Linked DNA regions of Astyanax mexicanus. The main gene of each other region encodes a partner of the protein of the gene in region 2 in a complex. Links are inferred from orthologs where the notes say so. Each region holds a gene or a part of one and is shown on either strand. Other genes may lie near its edges.

What was found. The genes of interacting proteins can lie anywhere in the genome.
Region 1: nod2 (region 2) and map3k20a share a complex: the UniProt entries of both Homo sapiens proteins name them as parts of the signaling complex. The link is inferred for Astyanax mexicanus from reciprocal best matches to the Homo sapiens genes NOD2 and MAP3K20.

Annotation. Positions count from the first base shown.
Region 1 is NC_064418.1:31,274,771-31,285,256, forward strand, and holds the start of map3k20a (mitogen-activated protein kinase kinase kinase 20), read left to right. Parts: upstream 1-6,166; 5' UTR 6,167-6,175; coding exon 6,176-6,394; intron 6,395-10,486. Other genes in the region: rapgef4a (rap guanine nucleotide exchange factor 4), read left to right, coding at 53-140, 1,395-1,459, 1,547-1,601, 1,866-1,993. UniProt on the Homo sapiens protein: Stress-activated component of a protein kinase signal transduction cascade that promotes programmed cell death in response to various stress, such as ribosomal stress, osmotic shock and ionizing radiation.
Region 2 is NC_064430.1:11,847,091-11,857,410, reverse strand, and holds the start of nod2 (nucleotide-binding oligomerization domain-containing protein 2), read left to right. Parts: upstream 1-6,167; 5' UTR 6,168-6,254; exon of another isoform or gene 6,255-6,378; 5' UTR 6,379-6,566; intron 6,567-8,454; 5' UTR 8,455-8,476; coding exon 8,477-8,962; intron 8,963-9,815; coding exon 9,816-9,939; intron 9,940-10,320. UniProt on the Homo sapiens protein: Pattern recognition receptor (PRR) that detects bacterial peptidoglycan fragments and other danger signals and plays an important role in gastrointestinal immunity.

The sequences.
Region 1 (10,486 bases), on a different chromosome or scaffold from region 2:
GGTTTTTCTGCCATTCTCTTTCTCTAATTCTAATTCTATTTTGGTTTCTCAGGACCCTTCTAGAAATCACAGAGCGTATCGCCTCACTGTGGCTAAACTTGACCCCCCTATCATCCCCTTCATGCCCTTACTCATTAAAGGTGGGTGCTGTGGAGCTGATATTTGTTATATATTTAAATGCAATAACTTACAATAACCTTGTAGCAATGCTAAGGCTTTTACATGCTCTTTATAGAAAAGAAGACTAAACACACAAAAAGAGATTTCAAATTCAGACTCTAATTAAAATGTAGTTTCTTCTGCTTCACATTTCATGTGCCTTTGTCATTCCTAGTCAATAAACCAAGTAAATAATACGCCTTTACTATCTGTTTGCAAACACACATATGCTATTGATTGGATGTTTAGAACAAAAGTGTCATTTTTTTCCACAAATCAATTAGACTTTAGATAGTTGATTCCGCTTCCTTAAAAATAGAAATTTTAGCTGTTGGTAGACTGTACATCTCAGGTTTAGATTATACAATTTAGGGTTAGAACCCAGTATGTATAGAGATTAGTGATGAAATGGATCAAACGTAATTCTTGAAAACAACAGTTCAGGACACATAAATCACAGATAAATCCCCCAATCCCATAAGGTTTAATCATTTACTGATTAAAGTTACTTTTAAAGTAATTTAAACACTGAACACAGCCACTCATCTGCAGAGACTCTGATGTCTGAGGGGGGAGCAGAGTTATATAAGTGTAAGGTGTAGGAGTCCCATATAGACATGGGTTAGATGTAAAAAGAAGAAATCTTCAAGTAAATCAACCTCAGAACGAGATAGTTCCCTGTTAACTTTTAATGTAGAACAGAACGAAAGAAAAAAAATAGCACAAGAAAGATGCAATTGCTCCACTAGCCTGCTACAGATTTTCAAAATAAAGATCACAAATACAAACAAAGTAGTAATAAATGATATTTTCAAATGAAAGCTAAATTTAATGTTTCACATTTGTCTCTCTTTTCTTTTTTGCTGATCTGATCTGTGACTCATAAAATGTGATCCATTCTGAACCATGAGTTTTGTAATATGTTTAACCACAAATGGACATATAAAGCATACAGCTCTGGAACAAAATAAGAGACTAGGTAAAATGACAAGTTTCTTTGATTTTACCAAATTGAAAACCTCTGGAATATAAAGAGGAGGATGGATAATCACAAGCCATCAAACCAAGCTGAACTGCTTTACTTTTTTTTACTCAAACATATACGTATAAATAGCAAAATCCGAGAAACTGAGAGGTGGTCTCTTATTTTTTTCCAGAGCTGTATTACATTCTACACACAAAACTTGTTGTTTTACAAACATTAAATGCTTAATGCCTTTTTATTATTTCATCAGATATGACTTTTACTCATGAAGGCAACAAGACGTTCATCGACAGTTTGGTCAATTTTGAGAAAATGGTAAGTTTATCTGTTTATAGAATAGTTCAATGTGTGTCATATTAATAAAGAAATGTTATTAATGTATATGTATTTTAATGCTTACAGCGAATGATTGCCAACACAGTGAGAATAATGAGATACTGCAGAAGCCAGCCATTCAGTAAGTCCAAGACCTGCATACGTAAATTCCTGTTTTAGTTTTCAGCATTACCTTATTTTGATGTGCTGTAAATAGTATGTGACAGAAATTAGGTGACCACTGTGCTTCCTGCTTACACATGGTGCTTTTGTAATTTGACACTTTCAGGTCAATTGGGTAATACTGTGGCCTGGAAATCCCAAACTGTGTAGTGACTTTAGAGGTTTTAAAATAGAAAGATCATTCTTTTATTTTTCTCTCTTTCTTTCTCTCTCTCATTTAAAGCCCATGAAGCTCCACAGGCCACTAAGAATCACCAGGATGTTCGGAGCTACATTCGTCAGATTAGTGTGATTGACAACCAGCGTACCCTGTCCCAACTTTCTCACAAGCTGGAGCCCCGGAGGACCTGAGCTCTGCTCTACTAAAGAACTACAGTACCCATGCTGCTTCAGTACTGCCAATGAATAAGCTAGCGATGACAGCGTTCTTCCTCCCATCTTCACTGGGGACCTGGCATACCCTCATTGGAATTATTTATACCATTGCCAAAATACAGCTGAATTGTATTTTGATTGACTGAAGGATTCACGATAGAATACAATCTTTTGCAGTTTTTTGTACCTCTGTGTGCTTCACTTGCTATATTTTTCCTGACATGCTGAGATGTTGCCCCATAATTCCAGGTTTTGTTTTTGGATCCACCCAAAAGAACTGAAATCTGGTCATAGAAACATCTTTTAAGATTTGTTGGGATGTTTTGTGAGGAACTTTTTACAATTCTGAGGTTTTAAGAAGGAATCATTGCTCAAAAATCGCACCTAAAGACTGTGAAGAAGCTTCTTAAACTGCAGATGTTCTTCTGTTTAGTTTTTGTACATGACTTTCTGTTTTTGAATACTTGAGTTTTGTGGATGTTTTGCATCTGATGTAATAGTAAAAGTGTTTTATTTATTCACACCTCAGCATGAAATGACTCTAAACACTCCTCTGTGGGATCCTAAGCACATTTTACAAGCCTATAAGTGAATTGTGTGCAAATTTCTACTTATATACTGTACACATGGGTCAGCTATAACATTGAAACCACCTGCTAAATACTGTGTAGGTCTCCCTTGTGCCACCAAAAAGCTTTAACCTGTCAAAACATGGACTTATAAGAATACCCTGAAGGTGTTCTTTGTCATCTGTTATCAAAAAGTCTCACTGCCAGCTTTGCTAGCTTCCCTTATTCCTGTTGTGCATCTGATTGCCATAGCTTGCTTAGGAATGTGACCAGACCACCTTCTTTCATTGCTCCATGCTCTAGGTTTTGAAGCCTACTGGAGGTGCTTTTGGCAGGGAACAGGCATTGGCATGGGCATTCAGATAGACTCTGTGGCAACACAGGCCCACATGCAGCAAGATGCAGCAAGACGCAGTTCACTGTGTTCAGAAATGTACAAATCATCTGTGGGATCAAATCTAGCCCTAACTCCTCACATACATCCGAGGCCCTTGTTCAACAACATATATTGGACACTTGATGCCCAATATTTCCCATCCCTAACCAGATAATCAGTGTTATTTGTGTCATCTTTTAGTGGTTTTAATGTTATGGCTGATGTATGTGTGTATTGTATAGTGCAGCTTGTATGTGATAGCACAGTGGCCATATGTTTTTGTTATGTTTTGAGTCTGTTCTCCAGAACACATTGACATAAGTACATAAGTATTGGGACACTTCGTTCATCATGGTTTCTTCTGAAATCAAGTGTATTAAAAAATTGTTGAATAACTTTCTCTTCTGAAACATTGCTGTCAGGATTTGATTGCATTCAGCAACAAGATCATTAGTAAGGTAAAGATGTTGGATGGATACCCACCCACCTCATCCCCATCTCATTCATTCCTCCCCAACTTATCAATTCATCCCCAACTCATCATTACATCCCAACTCATCAACCCATTCCAAAAGTAATAGAGAGGCCACAGTTCCACCGCTCTACAGCCAGTGCTAGAGGAATCTGTGGCATTAGGTAGTGTCAGTAAGTACGTAGTTATCTGCCCCAGGGAGGTCTATTCAATTGGCAGTATTTCTCTACAAACTTTTGAAAAGCTATTTGGACATATAGTGTATCAGGAAAAGAATGTGCAGCCCTTTTTAAACCTCTGTTCAAGTTAGGGAACTAGAGGGAATTAGTGTTTCTGTTCCATGGCCAGCCATGTGTCACTGCACCATTTAGCATATTCTAAACAAGACAGACAAGTGAACCACCTAACCTGGAATCTTTCCAGCACTCAATTGACTTGCTGTAAGCAAGACTGCAGGCAAATGAGCAGGAACCAAATAAGGAAATATTACAGACCCTGCAGCACGGCCAGGGAAGATACCACAAGACTGCAAAAGTCTGAGTCACATACTTTGAGTAGTTATTTCCTGCAAAAGATGTTGCAAGAGTTGACCAAGCATCAACTATGTCAATTCTATTTGTTAATTTTCCCAATTACAGTACTTACAGTTCCCTGAAAGCTGTTCCAGATATGACTCACCAGTACAAACATAAATACCTGCACAATAAAAGTTATGTTCTGTAAAATGTTTCATTTTACATCTGCTGGAGTACAGAGACAAAACATCAAAAACATGCCACAGTTCAGTTACTACTGGACTAAATGTGTGTTATGTAAATATTTCAGCATAATTAAAAGAAGGCTTATTTGGTGATATGTACTTGTCCCTGCCATTTTTATTTCTATTTTTGTTATATTTAGTACAAATGTCTTAATTATGAAAACTGTTTTATAAGCATATCTGAATCCCAATATAGTAGTGCAGGGGTATCTAATTACTTTAGCATCCTGAAGGTCACAATTCACCCTTCAGCCAGTTTCTTCAGAGATTTTCAGGCTTTAAATTTATCCTTAAATACAGTCCCAAACATTCGATTACTAAATCGATTTCGATTTAGTCTTCAATAGATGTTCCTTGCTTTTTTCCTTTTAGGTGGCAAAGATACATTTCTTTTCTATTATATATTTTTGTTTTTGTTTTTGTTTGGGGCAAAAAATGGCTTGTGTTGTCACAAGCCTATTAATAGGCAAGATTATGAAAGCTTTTTCACATTACTCATGCAGTTAGCATAGCATATGATTATAGGCTGGTTGATGGCACTGCCACAGATCTCAGTAGCCATGTAGCATAGCATAGACTTATCACAAGAACAAATTATTATTTTTTTGTAGCTATTTCTGAGTCATACTGAAAATTATTGCTGTCTTCTTGGTGCTGTGTCTGGTTATCAATTGCTAAACTGGATTTGCTACCTGTTCCTTCCTTTTTAGTCAGCTGAGAGTTAATGACTTAAGGTTGTTGTAATTAACTATTGGCCTAAAACATGCAGGGCAGCAAAGTTGGATTAAAACAGACCAACCTACACTGCCTGGCCAAAAAAAAAGTCAATCAGTGCAAGATTTTGGTGAACAATTAATGCAATACTGGATCGAAATAAATCTTTTGACATTTTAAAAGCTTATTGAAACAATGCCACAGGGAATGCGTGCCGTAATCAAAGCTAAAAGATGTCCAACAAAATATTATGTGTGAGTGTGTAACCTTTTCTTTATTTTGGTGGCGATTGTTTTTTTGCCTAAATAGTGTATTTTGTTGTATATTAGTAAACAAATCTGAAAATGCACATATTTAACCATGCTACTAAGAAAAAATATATACATATAAATGTACATATATACAGTACTGTGCAAACGTTTTAGGCACCAAAGCAAATTACACTAATCCATTTATCTCAGCAATATGAGTGTATTTCCCTGAAAAAAACACCACATATGATTTGAACAGACGTAAATTAACATACAGTAAAAATTATGTTATATCCTGTGAGCCAAACTAAACAAACAAAGTGTAGTTCCAGATTTCTCCTGGATGCCCTCAGCCAGCATGTGGATATGTTCAGTTCTGTCAGCAGCTCAGCTGATTTACCATATTTACCAATTTACCAAACCAGTTTTTATGATGAGAACTAGGAATAACTCAGATGAGGAGAGATTAGATGATATTTTAAGAAAACCAGTGCTGTAAAAGCACTACGTTTTGTAAAATTGTTGGGTACCACTTTAAAATAAGACTATATTTATTTGCAACCTAATTAGTAACCATTATTAAACTAGTTGCAAACCATTTATAAACCCTTTATAAAGGTAGTCTTATTTTAAAGTGGTTCCAATTGTTGTTTGTATTTATTGTAATGCTAGTGTTTTACTGAGCTAATAAACACTTACTTCGCAGACAAGAAGCTTTTTATTCACTGAAATTCCCATAGGTGCCTAAAACATTTGCACAATAAATACTATATATATATATATAGTATAATAACAATTTTTACTCAAACATATATATACCTATAAATAGCAAAATCAGACAAACAGATTCAGAAACTGGAGCTTGTTTATGTAAAAAAAAAAAAACAAGAAAGGTTGTCCATGCTGAGTTTAAATTAATGAACATGACCAGCTCATAATAATTCAGCTGTGGTAAATAGTCGAGGCCTCGCGTGTCGTGCGCCTCGTGCTCACGGGGTGGCGCCGGTGTCGCGCGCATGGCGGGCTGTGTGGGAAGACTGTCTGCTGGTTGTAGTTGTTTGGCGGGTGGAGGTATGGGAGAAGTTACACTGCGAGCACGTGAATTCTCAGCGGAAAGGCGAGTGTGGAGTGAAGCAAGGTCCTGTGAGACTTTACCTTCAGCAGGGAGAGCAGCTCCAGCCTCGACTCAGAGCCGGCGGAAACACAAACAAGCTCGTGGAGAGGAACAGCAACCGGTATGCAGCCGTTTGAAGCATTTTATAGTTATAATGTTTTTTTTCTGTCGACAACAACGCAGTAATATTGAATTAAACATGGTCAGGGATCTGTTTCTGTCCCTGAGTAAAGAGAGCCGGATGCGGGAAGATGTCTGGACATGTTATAAAGTGGGGAGAGCGTTGATTTGTGTGGTGACTCAGCGGCAGTAGCCCTGACTGTGTTGGTGGGGGCAGATAGATAGAATAGATAGATTATAGAGCTGGAATTTATATAGCAGAGCGCCTACGTTTCAGGCGCGTGTGTGCATGCATGCTAGCTTGCTGTAGATCTATGGGGATTGGCCTAAAAGCCGGTAGCCGGTATTTAGCTAGCTTGATTGGGTTAATTTAGGGTTTGTTGTGGTTACTGATATGGAGAAGGGCTTCGCTGAATGCTGCTTCATTGTAACTTACATTAGAAAATGTGTTATTATAGAGTTATAACGAGTTTTTATATTTGTTATTCAGTATGTCTTTTTTTCTAAGCATTCCTTATTAGGGCCAGTATAGTTGTTTTAAGTATAGGGTTTTCAGAATGATGTTGGGAAACCTGTGGTACTCAGTCTGTAGGAGTGATGGAGGGATGCCTGTAGTGTCTGTCATACCTAAACTACTCATGTTTCAGCCACATGTTGTAGCTTAGTGACTTCAGGGGCTGGGCTGACAGGGTGTATATATGAGGGTCATGTGTTATTTTGTTGATGGCTGTGGGAGTGTCACTCTGTTATATAGCTTCCTGGTCAGGTTTTCACACAGTTTTTGCTTCCTAGGCTATTAATGTACAGCGTGGCCTTTCTGCAGGCCACATGTGCTCTATGGAAAGCAGGAAAATAGGAGGAACTTTTTAACCGGTTCTTGAGCTTTTACTTTCCTTTCCACTGGCAGTCACATGACCCACTGGTGAGGTATGTATGTCACAGTTCATGTTACTGCTGAAATTCCGATGAATCGAGGTCATAAACTGTCACGCAAAAAAGATTCACATTTTGAAATAGGCCACAAGTAAGTGGGACACCTAATAAATGGTTTTATTCTGATATCAAATGTATTTATCCTGGAGTTTCAGGAGGTTACCCTGCTTTTTCTGGAATGGGAAGTGTCTCCACTGTCCAGTGTGGGCTTGCTGTGAGAATTTGATTGCATTTAGACATAGGAGCAGAGTAGGGATGCACTGATTTGGGAATTCTTGGCCAATGCCAATATCCAATATCACACATGTAGCTATATAAAGCTCTGAAAAAAAAAGAGACCACTTCAGTTTCTAAATCAGTTTCCCTGATTTTGCTATTTATAGGTATATGTTTGAGTAAAATGAACATTGTTGTTTTATTCTATACACTACAGACAACATTTCTCCCGAATTCCAAATAAAATATTGTCATTTTGGGGCATTTATTTGCAGAAAATGAGAAATGTCTAAAATAGCAAAAAAAGATGTAGAGCTTTAATACCTCAAATAATGCAAAGAAAACAAGTTCATATTTATAAAGAGATCAGAAATCAATATTGGTGGAATAACCCTGGTTTTTAATCACAGTTTTCATGGCATCTCCACCAGTCCTACACACTGCTTTTGGATAACTTTTTGGTGCAAAAATTCAAGTCGTTCAGCTTGGTTTAATGGCTGGATGTGGCACAACTATTACAGAAAGTACAGTTCTGCTACTCCACAGCCTGATGCTGGGCCTTTATTTCCATCCAGCCCACACCTGGCATTTGACATGGTGTCAATAGGTTTATATTTTTCTGCTTTATAGACAAGCTGTGTATGAAGCAGCTAGATTAATTTCAGTATGTTTTAACATATAGTGTATGACATTAATTAAATATATTTTTTTAAATTTAAAGTTAAGATGTTTTTCATTAATGTGCTGTTTTGGAGATTAGGAGGATATTTTTGTGTAAATTGTAGAATTGTTCACTTATATTAGAACAAATATGTAAATAAGAATTAAAATACACAAATACCATTATTACTCAGAGTATTGGTATTACATCACTGTGGTCATTAGAACATTTCCAGCTCTTGTCATGTTAGCCTGGTGTTGTTTATAGGTGTTATCAACGCCTGGTTTGTTAAATTAGTGCTTAATAATATTAAAAGGTGAGCTGGTAATAGAATTTAACGAATTCGTATGCTGGGTAGGTGTCCAGAAGAAAACTGAAATATTTATTATACGTTATTTATGTTTAGGTCCCTTTGTTCTAATGTAATCTGGCGCTTTTACTGAGATAAAGGAATTTATATTAGGTGTATAGGTATTCCAGACTTTGTTGAGAGTTGTTTTGAATGTACAAAGGTTGGTATTGGATCTGAGCATTGCTAAGCTGCTTATTAGTGATGGTGTGCTGGTTGTGATGTGGAATAGCAGTAGAAGCATCAGCAGAAGGCCCGCACTGCTCTGCTCTCCCCTCAGGCTGTGTAGTGGCTGCGGCGCGCGCTAAATATAGCGCTGAGAGCGCGCAGCGGCGCGAGCCATCGGCGCCCCTCTGAGCAAGAATGGAGCGGAGCGCAGTCAGCGCCTCTAAAAGCCTTAATTACACCGAGCACACTGCACAGACACCAGCACACCGAGAACAAGCATTTACTGTAATACACGGATTACTGCTCTTTCTCCCTCTTCTCTCTCTCTCTTTCTCTCTCTCGCCCTCTACTCTCTCTCTCTCCCTCACTCTCTTCCTCTATTCTCTCTCTCTTTCTCTCTCTCTCTCTCTCTCTCTCTCACTCTCTTATCCCTGTCCTCTCTCACCCTCTCATCCTCTCTTTCCTTGTCCTCTTGGTCACTTCTCTCTCTCTTACTCCCCACCCTCTCTCTCTGTGCCCTCTCTCTCTCCTTCTTTCCCCTCCATGTCTGCTGCATCTTTTAACAAGATGCATTTAAATGTTGTAAGCCACACAATAAAAGGATGTGTTTTTTTCTTATTGTATGCTCCATAACTTGATGGAGATTTTCTCATCCACCACTGTCCCATTATACACTATATTGTGATGTATCATTATCACACTGAGACGGCTAATCTGGCTCAGCAAGAGGAATGCTGTATGTTATCATTAAATGAGATTAGATATGGAGTAGTCTTTTTTAGGAATCACACTCGTGTGGACCATGTGAAAGACTTCATAGCTTTCACTCACCTGCTTCTACAGCTTACAGGTTATAGAGAAGTGACAGATGGACTGAACAACTCTACTTCTTGGTTAATGTTTGGATTTTATTACATGCAGATGTGGTTTCATTTAAAGTCATGCGGTAGGTCAGTGGTGTATAAAAGTTTGAGGACATTTTTGAATGTTCTATATTTCTGCATTAATTTAACTTAAAAGTTTATCGCATTTTTACACACATCCTAAAAGTAGATGGGGTATTTGGATCTTTAGGATTGTCAGATAAAATGAATGAATCAAAGTCACGTGTTTTAATTTGATGGGATGATCAGGTGTGAAGTTAATGATATTTCCAAATACGTCCACATTGCCAAGTCCAGACCTTAATACAATAGAAATGTTGTGTAAAGAGCTGAAGCAGGCAGTTCATGGGAAGAAATCCAATAACACAGAGCTGAAGGTGTTTTGTATGGAGGAATGGGTTAAAATTCCTTTAAGCTGTGCAGGACTAATCACCAGTTACCAGAAAGATTTAGTTATAGTTATTTCTGCACAACCGTATCATACCAGATACTAAATTTAAATGTTTGCATTTGTTTGCCTTGTAAGAAAATCTGATCAAGTTTTAGGTCACATTTTGTGCAAAATTTAAAAACAATTGTCTCTATATAGTATTCAAAAACTTAAAGAACCACTTAAGTCTAATGTGGAAGGTCTAGAATGTTTTTGAACAGTTTGTACTGGTGACAGTGGTCACTGATGGTCCATGCCGTGAGTGAGTATGTAAGGGGGCTCTGAATGCCAGGGATGCCTCGGGCCTTACGCAGGGCCTGCATGCAGGGTATTGGGTAAATCTGATTCATGCACAGGGAGGTTAGCGGGAAGTATGAGGAATACGCTGCACTGAAGCATGCTGGCATAGATGAGGAGGAATATCTTGCACATGCACACACCTACACAGACAT
Region 2 (10,320 bases):
TAGAGATTCCCGATTGATGGAAATGTAATTTAATCCAAGATTAGCTTTAATCCGTGTTCTTGTATCTCTGACCTTCAGTACTTTTAAGCTGACATCATCCACTATGATCTATAGCCTGGGACAAATGAAAAGGTGGGAGAAGCAGAGGGATGAAGCTAGATAGAGCAAACATGAAGAAGAACTGGAACTGGATATCATGTAAAACGTCCACATTGGAAAAAAGTAAGGCACTGAGGGAAATGCATATAAAATATTTCAGTATAACACCAAGGTATTTTTTTACATTGTTGTCTGGTAAACTTCATTTCATCCCTGCGTTAGCGCCATATCAAGGCATTTGGGGGCCCAAGCAATGGTTCAAATCTTGTTGATGTAGCTTGCCATCAACTACCGAAGCCCCGAGAGAACACAATTGGCCTTGCTCTCTCTCTGGGTGGGTAGATGGCGCTCTCTCCCCATATCCCCCCAACAAAGGGTGATGTTGCTCAGCACTAAGCATGTGTCTGTGAGCTGATGTATAAGAATCGAGTCGCTGCACTTTCCTTCGAGTGCGCTGTAATGCTATGTGGTAATGCTGCATCAGCAGCAGTTCGAAAAGAGGCAGTGGGTAACTTCACATGTATCGGAGGAGGCATGTGTTAGTCTTCACCCTCCTGGTGTAGGGGCATCACTTGTGATAGGGGGAGTCCTAATGAGTGGGTTGGGTCATTGGCTGTGTAAATTGGGGAGCAAATGGGAAAAACAATGACTGCTGAAGTTTCCTATTTTGCCGACTGCAGGAATCACGAACCTGTCTGGCTGGCTACAGTCAACCAGTATGAGTATCAACTAGTATGAGGCTCCCCCTTGAAGAGGATTCCAGTGTGAATAACAGTGCTGTTATATTTTCATGCACTGATCATTACAGAATGTAAGGGATGCTCACACAGTTTGTCGTCACATTAAATTCATAACCAGTCGTTGTCTGGGGACCCCAGGCAAGCTCAGGGGCTCCAGTCAATTGATTGGTTTGCTTACCTTGTTCCAAAGCGCCTGCCTGTAACACATTTAAGAAATTGTGTTATTTTAGGTTCGATTTTGTCCCATTCTTCTTCCTATAAACACAACCGTAAAGTGTGCAACATTATGGCATTGTCGTTGCAGTGTTTTGATTCAAAATCCTCAAGACATTCTTTATTGAGGACAGGACCCGCCAAGACTGTTGGCAAGCCAATGCAAAAGACCACTCCCTTCTCTTCTGCAGCCAAGCATTTGTAATGTCTGCAGCACTTGGGTTTGCAATGTCTTGCTAAAAATGCATATGTGGTCTTGAAGGCAACATATGAGATATGAGAAAAAATAAAATAAAGCTTTATTGTCCATTAAATTTACATTGAATTGAAAATTGTCTTTGGCAGACAAATACATGAAATTACAGAAACAAAGTAAAAAAAAAAAAAAAAAAAAAAAACTAAATACAAAACATAAAAATACAAACAGATTTTGAATTATGTGGGGAAATTGTGTATTACCTCCTTATTCAGAATAGCCACAGCAGATGCAAATTACTTTTTGTACCGATTCTTCTTGGCTAGTGAAACTAGCTAGTGAAACTAGCTAAGATGAAACTTTAGTCTCCTGCCTGATGGGACCCACTGAAATGATGAATAAAGGCAAAAAAAGGCCTTTTTTCATTATGGATCGACTGTATAGATTTTGTAGTGACAACTGGCTTAGATATACAACTTAAGGGCTGTAAGATGGCACAATTAAGATTTATTAATAATGCTCATATGTCAAGCTGTACAATGCCCATGGCTCAAGTTTTTGTTAGATTTACTGGAAAGACAAAGGAGACATGCTTGTACTTATGTGTTCATGTATATTATACAGAACTCTAGTTATACTGTAAGATTTAATGTGCCCCAGGAGAAGCTGGTGGTAGAGTATAGCTACAACAATGTGCTGCTTTATAGGAAGAGCTTCAAGCAGCTGTTTTAAGCAGGTCTGTGAAGATAATTATTTCAGTTCTGGGTAGGCGGATAAGAAGAAATAGTCTCAGATCAGAGATACCCACACATATATATATACACAGGTCCAGCAAACACTTCATTACATTAAAAAAAAAAAAAAAAACACTTGTTAAAAATCTAGCTTCTGAAGATTTTGACCTTGCACCTTGCTCCAACTAATTAACAGCTGCAGAAGTCATTGTGTTTGGTTGGAGGGAGTAGGTCTAACACACACTGGAACTTCAGTGAGGTGCTGTAAGGTGAGAGGTGAGGGTTTTATTTTTGGGATCTTATAATTTCATGTTTTTTTTCACAATCCAACTCATTAATGTAGTTTTATTTTATTTTTAAAACGATAAATAATACATACATATGTGTGTCACATAATTTAGCATCAACTGCTGTAATTGTACTTATTGCGTTGTACTAATGAAATTCATTCATTTTCAATGGGCATATGTGCAGCTAAAATGGGGAACCTAGTGCATCCCAAATTTATCAACATTTATCCAAATCTGAGGTCCTATTCTATGCACTTAAAAAAATTATCTTGATTGTAATTCAAGTGATTAATAATAATAATAATAATAATAATAATAATACAATAATATGTGTATCAAAATAATAATAATAAATAAATAATAAATAAAAATAATAAAGAACCACAAACATGCTCACGGTTTCTTCCAACAAGATCCAAAAAGATGAAGTCTCTCATTGTGACAGTATGAGAATAAGATTAAGATTAAGACTCATGTCAGCTGTTAAATAAATATTTTGTGTAATAATAGCTATAGTTTTTTTTGTATTTTTTTGGTTACAATTTAGATAAAAATATCGAAAAAATTGTATTGTTTGGGTATCAGAACCAAATTCATCATATCGGTAGCTTTTAAAAGAATACCCAGCCCTAGCTATAAGAGATAGATAGAGAGATAGATAGATACTTTATTAATCCCAGAGGGAAATTCTGCACATCCAGTAGCAGCAGGTATACATAGTACACAGGTGTTACAAAAAAGGATAAGATAGAATGGTACAGATAAAAATACAATAAAAAACAAGTATAAAAGTAGAGTTTTTTGTGTCTGTGTAATGGAGGTAGTGCAGTAAAATAACTGCACTGTAGACAGGGTAAAATAACAATGTGCACCAGTTGCTGTGCATATTGAAAAGATGATTGATGCGCTCACATTACAGACAGTGCAAGTACGCAATTACGCACCTATTTAATAATTTAGCAGTGCAAATTTGTAAAGACAATAAATAAACTAGTAGTGCAGAATATGGAAAAACTATAAAGTATAATGTTCTATTCAAATGTAAATTAAACATTTGGGATGCACTAAGCTCCCTGTTTCAGCAGCATATATACCCAATTAAAAAATAAAAATGTAAATGCATTTTAGTACAATTAAAGAAGTTTAGTTGGGACATTTCTTTCGAGTTCTTTTGATTCTCTGCACAGATCTTCTACATACATCTTTTTCTATGGTGTTGTCCAGTCAGTGCAGTAAATATTGTACATTTTTGCATCTGAAATTTATCTGCACACAGTTTTCCTTTTTTATAAAACAGGCTCTCAGTGGTATGTCAAATTTCTTGTCATGGGCTCAAATATTAATTGGCAAATAGAAGCAACTCACAATTCTAAAGGTAAAATACTGATGCTTTAAAAAAAAGGTTAGCTGTATTTTAAGAAATACGTTTTAATTTAGTAATAAATGTAGATGCAGTCAGTCAGGATGGCTTTGCCAAAAGCATTAAATAACAAAGCATCACACTGAGGGATCTCTCTGAGACAATGTCTTCTTTACACAGTGTGAGTGCTCCATCTAGTGTTCAAAACTTGACCTTGCAGTTAAATCCACTGTACTCCAACTCCAATTCCACATTCTAATCCTTCCAAAATATACTTTTTCCCACAGAGTAATGGAACAGCATTTCAACTACATAAAAAATATATAATATATGCTCCTGTTAATGAATGTGTTTAGCTGCTTTAGGTTGTACCCAATTCTGACACAGTAGAGCAAATGCACATTCACAGCTTGACAAGTCCCTGTAGAGAAGCACTGTCAATAGAACAGAATAAAATAAGACTCTCTGGAGTAGATAAACAAATACTAGCTTTGGCCTGTTGGGGCTAGAGATTTTGTCCTGTTTGGGATTACAATTCCTAGTTTTATGTTGTAAGTGTTTGTGACAGATATTGTGTTAACCTTAACATGTACAGTAAGTGCAATTATGTATGTTTTAGATAAGTTAAAGAAAATAAGTTACTGCATGGATAAGTTCATTGTAGTTTTGTTCTGTATTTTTGTGATTGTTAGATTGTTTTCAAATTTATTGTGATTAGTTTGGTGATTTCATTACACCTACTGTCATGATGTGAGTGATGTGAGACAGAGATGATGCCTTAAATAACCCCATCTCCATCAGACTAGTGTTAATAAAGTCAAATGGGAACCCTGTGAAATAGGATAGCTAGTTGAGGCTACAGTTGTGAAAGTTAAAGAACATTGTAGAAGTAATGAATCTGTTTAATAGGAAAGTCTAACTAATGAAGCAATATATTTTGCATTCCTTGCTTTACGAAACCTTTTCCAAAACTTTACTTGTGTTAAAACTGCAGTCAGTTTTTCCATATTTTCCACACTGACCCATTGACCCATAGTTACATTATGATGTTGTGTCATAGATGAACTCCCATGATGCTTCAGGGTTGGCATTGATTTATATTTAGTTAAGAAGATACAATTTATTGTGATTGATTTGGTGATTTTGGCATTTTTATTTTTTATTTTGAGGACCTGCCATCATAATGTCCACTAGGCAAAGATGATACATTAAACAGCCCCGCTTCCCTTAAGGTTTTGTGAACCAAGTAAAGTGAAATAGGAACTATGAAAAAACAGTTAGTTAAGTGAACTAGTTGTAGTAGTAGATCTGTCAAAGCTAAATATTTTCTCTTTCTTAGTTTCTGAATTGTTCCTGTCAGGAACTAGTAACTGTTTTCTTGATTCGGTATCTGAACTTCCAAATGAGTTGGAAGTAAGGCATGCATGATTAATATGAGTCAGAGAGATTAATTCTGTGGGAACAGGAGTGACTAGAATAAAGCACTAAAGGTTGTTATAAGGTCTGTTTTTCCCGGACAGGAATTAAGCCTAGTCATACCCTATGTCATTCGAAAATACTCTATAGCCCAAGACTAGGCTCAGTCCCTGACTGGGAAACTGCTCTACAATGTTACAATTCCTCTTAGTCTTTGTGACAGTTTTGAGAAATAGTCTTCTGAATGAATCATTCAGAACTGGGTATTTCCTTGACTATTAAGAAAGACAGGAACAGTGACGGTGAATTAAGTCACGTGAAGACGTATTAATAGGGCAGACTAAGAGAATAATATCTTTTTGATCAATAAGGAAAGTTAAAATAGATATAGATACGGCATTGTAGTACTTAAGTACAGTAGTGAAGTAAAAATAATACTCTAGTAGATACAGATACAGCATTTTAGTACTTAAGTACAATAGTAAAGCAAAAATAATACTCCGGTAGATATAGATACAACATTTTAGTACTTAGATAAAGTAGTAAAGTACAAATAAAACTTTAGTAGATACAGATACAGCATTTTAGTATTTAAGTATAGTAGTGAAGTAAAAATAATACTTCATTAGATACATATGCAGAATTTTAGTACTTAAGTACAGTAGCGAAGTAAAAATAATGCTCCAGTAGATACAGATACAGCATTATAGTACTTAAGTACAGTAGTGAAGTCAAAATAATTATCCAGTAGATACAGATACAGCATTTTAGTACTTAAGTACCATAGTGAAGTAAAAATAATACTGCAGTAGATACAGCATTTTAGTACTTAAGTACAGTAGTGAAGTAAAAATAATACCCCAGTAGATACAGATACAGCTTTTAAGTACTTAAGTACAGTACTAAAGTAAAAATAATACACCAGTAGATACAGATACAGCATTTTAGTACTAAAGTACAGTAGTGAAGTAAAAATAATACTCCAGTAGATACAGATACAGCATTTTAGTATTTAAGTACAGTAGTGAAGTAGTTCTGTCTGTTACTATAGGTTACATCTCTGGATATCAGGGAAGCAGAACATTGTAAACACTGGTCAAGTAGGTCCAGCCTCATCCTTTCCTCACACTAAACTACACACTTCCAGTTTTACTTTCAGTTCATCACACAGACTGATACAGACTGCACCCAGCAGCCGTTCTTACCGTAAGTATACAGTATACACGTTTTAGGCAGGGTTTAAGTTGTTTGTGGTGTAGTGTAAATGTTGAAACTGTGAGAGACAAAAAAGGGGGTCGGTAACAAAAACTACTTACACTTTTACGCTCAGGAATGAGGAAGGAGCTGGGAGAATTTCCCTTTTTCTCTCGAGAACAAACAGAAGTTCGCCTAAAGGGGATTATCTGACAGTATCCACCGCCGTGAACATGACAGGCAACACGGAAAAGTCACCTCAGGACAGCTTCATGAGCTTTCTATGAGCAGGACAGGCTCTCTAAACACTCAACTCAACTTAAGGTAGGCTGTTTATACTGTATTGCTGTGTCTGAAACGCAAAAATGATTACTTGTTGCCTACACCGTCTCATTATGAAGAAGTTAGTAAAAATCACTGTATCCAACTCAAAATAAAAAACGCAGCTGGCTGTTTTGTTATTAGCTATTAGCTATTACATTTTAGCCCAATAAAACAGAAGCTAAATTGCTAAACTTCGACTCATAACACATATCTGGCTGCCTTTCTTGCGTTTCAGACGTTTAGACTGGATTAAATGTAGCTAAATTGGATAATTTACCAAACTTGCCAGTGTTGGATGAACACTCAACGTGTTACATTTAACAGTTAATGAATTAAGTTTAAAAATTATTCAATACTTATTAGCCACGTGCTTCTCTTTGCACTGTAAAAAAGGGCAGACTTTTCTCAAGTCATTTGACATTTTACAGTATTTCCCCTACAAACAAATATCTGAAAAAAAAAACATTAAAATGACAAGAATAGACTTATGTAAAAAAAAATGCTTTTTCAACAGTTCATAGCTGTTTCCTGTATTTTACATTTTCTTCCTTTAAAAAAAAAACAGACACGTACTTTTTTATTTCAAAGGTTTCTTACAGTGGAGTGTTCCCATGATGCTTCGGGGTTTGTGTGGGGTTTAACGTTATAAGAGACGTTTTTGTGAGGTCGGCTGGATGTTTCTAGGAAGTTTAATAATTAGATTTAGATTTACAGCATTAACTGACACTCTTATCCAGAGTGACTTACAATGTTATTTCAATTACAAGGTTCAATTACAAGGTTATTTATTCACAGCCATGATGGAAATTAACTGCTTCATTCATTCATATTGTGATTCTGAGATAAAAAAAATTTAACTTACTAGTGTCTCAAAAAAAAAAAAAAGAATAGAATATATATTAAAAGTAACTTTATTGGTTTGGAGAGCCATATCTGCTGGTGTTGGTCCAGTCCAACTTTTCCATGATATTCTAATTTTTTGAGATGCATTAGAATATTACAAAATCTTCTATTGGAGAGGATAAAATACTCCTAAATACCATTTATGGATTTATTGGATGAAGTGACATTATACATACCATTATTTTGGTCTTAAATGTGTAAAGCTATTGCTTCAAAATTTCTCCTAAGAGCTAACATGGCAAAACCATGTTGGTCATACTTGTGTAAAATCCTGTAATATTACTCCACCTTCTTAGTCCACACAGAAATGTCTTACCAATGTCTTAGTCTTACAGAAATGGTCATCTCCCAGGTTGGTTTAAATCAATCAAAATTTCCTTTGTAAATGTAATACTTGCCCCCCAATTTGACTTAATAAAGTTACTGGTTCATTACTCCATGTGGTGGCGCTATCAGAGGGACCAGTAATTCTGCAATTAATAATATTGGTTAAATTCTGTGAAACTGACACCAATAAATCCATAATTCCTGGTATTTATTTCTTAAGGAGTATTCTTTCATCTTCAGTAGAAGATTCTCTTGTCATGTATCGAGTTGCTTAGAATCACAGTATCATGATATCATTGTTATTGTTGGTAATGTATTGTGAGATGCCTGTAATTTCCACTACTAATGATGAATGCATCTTTATTTAAAATAACAAATAATAAGCTGATTTAAAAACTACTGGCTGAGAATGCTTTATGTTTGTCTAGTGGGAGGGGTTTCCAGTTTGGGAGCAGCCTAGCCTCTTGTTTTTATTTCGATTTTGTAACAAAAGGTGATCCTGTATAGGCTTGTAGATCTTTAACTGACTGACGTGAATCCAGCAATCTGGACACTTTTACATCTAGTGAAGATCGAAGAAAAAAATTTGCAGCAGGTTGTGAAAGTAATATTTTGTCAGGTTAAATTGTATTTTTTTAATATTTTTTTTACACTACAGATGACCAGATGATACCAGAGATATGTCTGGACAGCAGCTGGTCCTGAGGCAGAGAACGGAGCTTCTGGGAGCTCTATGCTGTGGGGGCACGGCTGAACCCCTGGACTGTGTGCTGGATCTTCTGCTGTCTTGGGGTGTAATTGTGTGGGAAGACTACCTAAGTGTGCGGGAACCAGCCAAACCCCTCTGCTCCAGTGCCAGAGAACTGCTGGACTTGGTGTACAACAAAGGCGAGGAGTCCTGTCTCCTTCTACTGTCAGCGTTTAAGCAAGTTTTACCCGACGCTCAGAAAGCCGGACTCTGCTTTGGTAAAAGTTTTGCTGCAGGAAAGGATGCTAAGAGGACCTCCACTAATGCCAGTCAGACTTTGATGACTGATAGACCAGCACTGGTGAGGAAAATACGGGATCATATTGATGGAGTGCTGGAAGCGCTGGTAAACGCTGGCTGCTTTACTTCAAAAGACTGTGATGAGGTGATGTTACCTGTTTACACACCTTCACAAAAGGTAAGGAACACATATAAGGGTTAGAATAGTGTTCAGAATACATCTGTTATTGGGATGCATACAGGCCCGTTGCAACAAGGCAAGCAAACCAGTCAATTTCCTAGGACCCTGAGCTGGCCTGGAGCCCCCAGACAACGACTGGTTATGAACTGAATGCCCCTTTAAACTTTGTGATGGTCAGTGCCGGACAGTACAGCACCATTTTGCTTTAGGCCCCCAAATGCTTTGTAACAACTCCAGATGCACAGATTATTTGGAAACCAAAAGTCATATTTTGCTTTGTTGGCATGTCTGCTGGGATGTTAAACATTGTTTTGTGTTGAAACAATATTTTTAATCGTAGATTTTTTTTGTGTTTGCTTTTTGACAAAAACATGTTTAGGCTATTTTATTTATTCATTGATGAAATTTGGCTAAATTAATGTTACCTGGGAAATCGTTTCGATTTTGGTCCGACAATTTTATAGAGTACCTTATATACCCACATTATATTATGTATATTACTAAGAAATAAACACAGTATTTACAGATAACAAATTTGGTATTTAGGATCATATAGTTTATCAGATACAACATATAAAAAACTATGAATATGAAGAAATAAGAATAGGCCTGATGATGAACCATGTGTATGTTTTAAAACTGAAAAAAACTGACAGCTATTCACAGAACAGCAATACCTTGTTTATTACATCATTAGGCCCATCTGACTAAACAGTTCTGTCTCTAAGTCAAGAACCTATAATCAATGTAGAATTATAATAGTTGGATTTTTATTTGGAGCTATCTAAGCAGTTAGCAGGCTGGTCAATGCAGATGAAAGATGGTCTAAGAATTTGTTTTCCTTGTGTAGGTTAGGAGGCTACTGGATCAAGTGAGATTTAGAGGGGAGGAAGCAGCCAGCATCTTATTGCAGTATCTGCGGCTGGCAGAAGTTGTGTCACAGCCTGTAAAAGAGGAAAAGCAACTCACTGCTGGTACGCATGTCTTTTTTACTCTTTTGTGAAATTTGACTTCATCCATTATGATTGATTATACACAATTACACAATGTGATTTTATGTGAAAAATGTACAAACAGTAAATTTTGTGCTTTTAGTCAGTACATTTGTGTTTCCCTTTTTTAACACAACTTTTAGTATAACAGTTTAGTTAGTATATTTAAAGGAGAACTCCGGTGTGAAATTGACTTGGTGACTTGGGTGTAGTTTTTGTTTAGTCCTTGTTGAACAGCCCACTTCTGTTCATCGCAGCTTTCTGAGATGCAGCAATTTTATTCCGTTTGTCCAAACACCCTTAAGACAGGGTGATAAGGGGCATGTTCTTGCCAATGCAGAAACAGTGCAGGCTTTTTACATC